Solanum lycopersicum: one gene and its partner. The protein of the gene in region 2 interacts with the protein of the main gene of each other region in a pairwise test. Links are inferred from orthologs where the notes say so. Each region holds a gene or a part of one and is shown on either strand. Other genes may lie near its edges.

Region 1 (3,036 bases), on a different chromosome or scaffold from region 2:
TGATTGGGCTATTGAGCCACGTCGAGGCGTTTATTATCTTGATGTGATCAAAGACGGGGAGGTACTTGATCGAATTAATTTGGATAAGCGAAGGCATATCTTTGGACGACAGTTTCACACTTGTGATTTTGTCCTTGATCATCAGTCAGTCTCACGCCAGCACGCTGCTGTGGTTCCTCACAAAAATGGAAGGTGTGACACGTGTTCCTGTTTTTTGCTTATTTAGTGGTGAACATATTATTTTGTTATTTAGGCTAGCTTGGCAGGAGAAGTCGACAAGTAATTATTGAATGGATGAAATACTACATAACACGAATATAACTCTATGATGATGAAATGCTTGAATATGTTATGAAATTCATTTTTATGCATTTCTTCTTTGAGCTGAAGTGAGTAAGTAAAAAAATTAAGCAAGCTTTGGCGTCAGGGCCATGGTTCCATTACTAATAAATCACTTATATATGTGTGGAAATATCTTGTGTGGACTTCAACTTTTAAATTTGTTCTTGCTGGACATTCTTACTAAAGCAATGATATTTTGCATATTTGTTGCTTATTTTTGAAGATTCACAAATACTACCCCACAATGCAAGAAATGAGGAACTGTGGATTTATTCGATGTTGCTCAAGATCATTTCAAATTTTGTTGTTAACTGTTAATTGTACAATTTGGGACATCAAGAATGTCATGTATCTGTAAATATCATCTATCATGGTCATCCAATCCTCGTGAATTGGAGCATCTAGCCCCATTTAGATTTAAGTAATAAAGATGATTCTTTTGACTGCATAGTCATTTTGATAACACTGTTAATGTAACTTGTCAATTTTGACAAACATATCTCCAGGGTAAAAAATAGGTGTTAAAATAGGTGTTTACTAGATTTGCATTTCTGGTGTAAAAGTAGTGTTATGGTGTAAAAGTAGTGTTATGGGAAACTTGATTGAATAGATGAATTTTCTTGAGGAATTAGATGATATGTAGAAGGCTTTTTTTAATCTGCAGTTGGGTTGCTGTAATTGTGCCATTTTGGTACCTTTATCAATAAAATTTTACCTTATCGGGAAAAAGAGCAACTTGTCAATAGTGAGAATCCTTATTGACATAGAAGTATTCTTTTCTTCTTATGATCAGGTTGGCCTGCTTATAAATTATTATTTTTTGTTACTTCTACTGTGTGTCTTTAGACAAAGAAATTGCTCCTTTTGAAACTGTAATGCCTATCCTTAGATGTCAAGACACACCTTTTGAAAAGATATTATATAAGGATAGGCATTACAGTTTTAAAAGGTGCAATTTCTTTGTCTAAAGACACAGTAGAAGTAACGAAAATAAATAATTTATGTGAACTAATAATATCTTTTCTCTCGCAGCATTTATGTGATTGATTTAGGATCTGCACATGGAACATTTGTTGCTAATGAGAGGCTAACAAAGGATTCCCCTGTCGAGCTCGAGACTGGACAATCTTTGAAGTTTGCTGCATCAACAAGGACTTACATCTTGAGAAAGAACAATGAAGCTCTCTTCCCTCCTGCACGACTACCTGCAGAAATAGATTTACCACCAGTTCCAGATCCTTCAGATGAGGAAGCTGTTTTGGCTTATAACACCTTTTTAAACCGCTATGGACTTACTAGGCCTGATTCATTGTCAAAATCAACAGTATCAACTAGTGAGAAGGATGCCAATCATTCATCTGAGAGGCCTACAAAAAGAATTAGGAGAAGAAGTGTGTCATTTAAAGACCAGGTTGGGGGGGAGCTAGTTGAAGTTGTCGGTATTTCAGATGGAGTAGATGTGGAGACAGAACCTGGTCCAGTGGGTGTGAAAGAAGGAAGTCTTGTTGGAAAATATGAGTCTCTTATAGAAATTACAGTGATACCCAAAGGGAAAGAACACTCCTCTGTAAAAGATGTCAACGTTTCCCAAACAGGTGTAACAGACAAACTTAAACAGGTATTGAACAAGGTGAAGAATCCGCCTAAGGGTGGAATTTATGACGATCTTTATGGAGAATCAATTCCTAGTAAAGTTGGATCTTGGGCATATTCTGGTATCGGTCAGTCTGCTTCCACTAACGATGCTGAAGGACACTCCCCTGGTTCCTTAGGCAGAGTCTCTGGGAGTATCTCAAGCAATGTGGATGACGATACTGATGATTTGTTTGGCTAGCAAACACATTGCTTACTTTTGAATTCGGCCTCAACCCCTGGCCATTGGCAATGAGTTCAGACGTATGAGCTGCACGAGGCATCTCAAGTAGATTAAATTATGTTAGTCGTTGTATTCTTCTCTTTCCTGGCGTGTGCACCAACAGGGATTCAATTTTGAACTTAAAACTTTGTTTGTCAGGACACTGAATCTGTGACTTGAGATCAATGGAAAAAAGTGTCTTATCTTTCCCATTTTCATTTTGTGCAGAACAAGTGGTCATAAACTCAATGCTCATGTGGTGCTTTTTGTTGTATGATGTGATCAGCAAATACAATATTTACTAGGAACTATCAAAAATTTATCTTTAGGGCTGTATATAGCCTATGAAAATCTATTATTATCTTATTCTATCCTTAGTTTTAACTCGTAAGATTTTCCTAGATATGTTGTTGTTCCCATAACTTAATGATTCTCTGAAAACATTTTTTCATTATATAAGCAATTTTTCAAACACAATTAATATCTAGTTAGCTGGGTGGTGTTGAACTTTTGATCCCCAAGTATGAGGGAGTTGAAACAAAATCAATAAATTCATAAATAAATGTATAAAGATTTAAGCTCCAAGATACAAATTTTAAATCTTTTTGAAAATTAACTTCTTCTAAGATTGATAACAAAAATTTATAGTTGTAGATTATTTCTTAAATTTCAGTGTTTAAATGATGAAATAATATATTAATATCAAAATATTTGATCAGAATCTCTATATTTATATTGTTGATAATATTAGAGATTCTATGTTTTTTTCAAACACAATTAATTATTATTATTATTTTATTCATTCACTTTTACTCATTGTAAGAGAAAAAATATATATA
Region 2 (3,629 bases):
TTCTTATGAAGTTTTTTTTAGAATAATTACATATTCGCAACACATGATTTGATTGATAATTAATTTTTTTTTTTTGGATATTAATTTCGGTGGAAGTAAGAATTAGTCCGTGTGCATGTATTTCCACACTGAATACTGTGATATGTAGTGAAACAAAAGTATATTCATATGGTATATCACTGCTTTATTATCCCCCCAATAAAAATAAAAATTAAGGTTCATCAGTATTTAATGATCCAAGAAAAAAATACATTGGACTTATAAGTGTGTTGGAGTGATACAGGAATCTTTCCATTTTTACATAAGTATGCATGAATATGTATAGCTAATTAGTGTATGCTAATTGTCTACTCGATATTATATTGTTCACCTTAATCGAGTTATAGATATTTGATAAATCCAACTTCAACATGGTGAACAGATAAGGAAAAAACTAGCTAGAAAAAATAAATTTTTTTAAAAAAGATAAGGAAAATAGAAATACAAATAATGTAAAAAAAGAACTTTTTAGTAACGTGGACAATTGATATGAAATTGAAACAAAGGGAAAGTTAGATGGTAGCCACAATTTCAGCACAACATGTTGGTTACACATATAGCCTTATTATACATACGAAAATTGTCATTTAAGAGCAAATAAGGTACTGATTACTACAATAATTAAGCTAATTAAGAGGAAATCAAATCAGAAATTGATTTTAAGTCTAGGGTGTCTTATCACACCTAAGATTACAATTACAATTATATATTAATGTAAAAATATAGCTTGAATCATCCACTCTATTTCTCTTGAGACATTCCCTTGAGAAAGTCTCTTGCTCCAAGCCCTATCACTTTTGCCTCTGATCTCTTCATGATCCTTAGCCTTTTGCATGATTCACTGAACATTCTGCTAAATCAAATTCCAATTAATACGACTTCTTTTGATTTTTTCTAACACTACAAAATGTTTGATGAGTAACCGATCAAGGTTGTTATAGTGTGGTAGGTAGTAATTTATTCTTAACCAAGAGGTTTCAGATTTTAGTTGTCTTGGGTATAAAGCTGCCTTTGTTAGGAAGTTTTAACCTTCCTGGCACGAATCCCTATTTAATCGGGTTTCAATGTTCTAATTTATCGGCATAATGATGTTTTGATCTATGCCTTAAAAAGGACAAAATTGATCCATCAGTGAATATATGCTAGTTTAAATCACCTAAATTTGACTAAATTGGTCAATTTATGTACTATAAGCTAAATTTTACACCCCTTTTAACACATTAATTAGTTTAGTTTTACAATTAATTAAAGAAGATTCAATTAGGGATAAGGTGCCCGAGGGGCAGATCGCGTTAAAAAATTACTAATATATAAAATTTGAACTTTTTTTAACATAAGATTAGAGGTCGACTGAATTTAAAATTCAGTCGACAATTTCAAAATTCAAATCTCAAGTATTATATTAAATATGTTCCTAAATTAATAAAAATTCTGAATCTGTCGTCTCGAATAGAACATAAAGAGAAAGTGAAATACTTACATCCATGGAACATCGCCGACAAGCATCCAATCTCCATCTTTGTCTTCATAGATTGGAACGAACTCTGACTTATCTGCATCCTCCAATGCTTCTCCTGTTGACACATTTAAATACAAATTTAACATATATAACACTAGCAATTAAATTGCTTATATTTATGAAAAAGATGCTCGATTTATGTTTATTAGTATAGTACAGTAACCGTACATTTCAATAATAATAATTTCACTTTGCCTAAATAAATGCATGTTAATATAGAAAACTGAAATACTAACCAATTCCATAGCAATCAAAGAGTTTTTCAAGAGCCATAACAAGTTGATCATAACCCTTATGAGTACTCAAATCAACTTTCCTCAAAAACGGTGCTCCATCCATGCTAACTTTGACGTACATTTTATTATTGGATTCAGCTTCACGTCCGTTAAAACTGTTCTTTTTCCGGTAAGCACACACAGGAGGCCAACCAACAACTTCGTTCTTGTATTGACACTTGTAATTATTAGCCTCAACGTTGTTGTTGTTGTTGCTGCTGCTGCTGTTTCGATCACTAGTAGTAATTTCCGAATAAACCCTTTTCTTTTCATTTTTCTCCAATATTCCTCCTGGAAGTCCCAATCTTAGCTCAGTAATTTCCAATTCTGTTGCCATTTCGTATTATGTTTTGAAGACTGGAAAATTAATATATTGTTGTTTTGATGGAAAAAATGAGTGTGTGTGTTTATGAGTATATATAGGAAATAAATAATTGAGAAGACAATGGCAGGTAAACTAAACTTAATGGTCGGTCACATGAGATACAAAGGTAGGGAAAATATATATGTTAGGTATGTAATTTAAAACATTAATAATTTGTGGAGATTTACTTGTGACCGTTTGATATGGTTAACAAAAGACATGCCATGTGATGAAGTGTTCCCAATATGTTTGTAGACACATTAATATACGCGTGCAAATAAAGGTACATATATACATGTAATTATTTCGAGTTGGGATAAAATTTTTGCAAGTACGGATAAGGTATGTGTATATATTAATCTCTTCAGATTTTATATACGGGTTTATATTGGGTAACTTATGGATTGGCCGAATCAAGTTTGGTTTAAAAGCTATTTACGTGATTGACAATAGAATCTTGTTTAATAAGTGGAACGCAATAACTGTCCGCTATCAGGTTGGACAGTCAGGGTAGGAGAAGGGCAATGACTCATTCTTATAACCAGCGTTTTTAAGAACAAGAAGTCGGGCGGAAGGGGGAAAAGCCCTACGTTCCTGGTTCTCTTTATAGTTGAATCCAAGTCTCTTGCCACCTAAAACTCTGGCAAGAAAGCACTGCTTTACCTTTGATCCTATGTACCTTCTCTCTCATTAATTTTAAGAAATTTATTCGTACAAATTATAAATTTTGAAGTCAATAACTTGAAAAAAAACTAGAATTTCATATTCATAAGTACTTTAAATTATGATTTCGTCTCTAGCTAAACAAATCTTTTAATTGGACAAGAGCCTATTTGGGACTAAAATCAAACAGGAGGGCATAATTATTCTATTTCACTAGTTAAGGGGCAAATGTGACCTTTTGTCAAAACTAATACAGTTAAATTTAAGTTAAATTAAGTGTTATGTTTATTTCAAAAATTTTACATATATAGTCATGTATTTGAATTAGGATTGACAATTTCGAAACCAATGAATACACATATTTCTCTTGAAAAAAAATGATAGTTTACGAAAAAGAATACCATAATTTATTTATTTTTTTGTCTCCGTTATAATTTTCTAATACACGGACAATTAATTTTTTGAGGAACATATCCAATTATAATAGGGTATATGGATATTTGATTCTTGCAGAGAAGGCAAATTTCTGCGAGATAATATTATTATTTACACATATAATAAGTAGCATGTTATTAAAGGAATATAATTTCTCCAATTATAGACAATCAGTTTATACTACATTATAACAAGAAGATACCACGATGAGAATATTTTGCAATATTGGGACATAGAAATCTTACTTTGAATCCCTTAGATTAGAAATTAATACATAAATATAACTATTGTCTAGTCAATTATTTACAAATTATAGTTGGTCTTCTATCAAATA

What was found.
Region 1: the proteins of IAA19 (region 2) and protein phosphatase 1 regulatory inhibitor subunit PPP1R8 homolog interact in binary tests that used the Arabidopsis thaliana proteins (3 or more experiments, as listed by UniProt). The link is inferred for Solanum lycopersicum from reciprocal best matches to the Arabidopsis thaliana genes IAA19 and AT5G47790.

What each region holds. Positions count from the first base shown.
Region 1 is NC_090803.1:6,018,763-6,021,798, forward strand, and holds the end of protein phosphatase 1 regulatory inhibitor subunit PPP1R8 homolog, read left to right. Parts: coding exon 1-192; intron 193-1,374; coding exon 1,375-2,176; 3' UTR 2,177-2,413; downstream 2,414-3,036. UniProt on the Arabidopsis thaliana protein: Inhibitor of protein-phosphatase 1 (PP1). Binds to and inhibits PP1 activity.
Region 2 is NC_090802.1:65,646,351-65,649,979, reverse strand, and holds IAA19 (IAA19), read right to left. Parts: upstream 2,217-3,629; 5' UTR 2,171-2,216; coding exon 1,795-2,170; intron 1,614-1,794; coding exon 1,520-1,613; intron 890-1,519; coding exon 781-889; 3' UTR 598-780; downstream 1-597. UniProt on the Arabidopsis thaliana protein: Aux/IAA proteins are short-lived transcriptional factors that function as repressors of early auxin response genes at low auxin concentrations.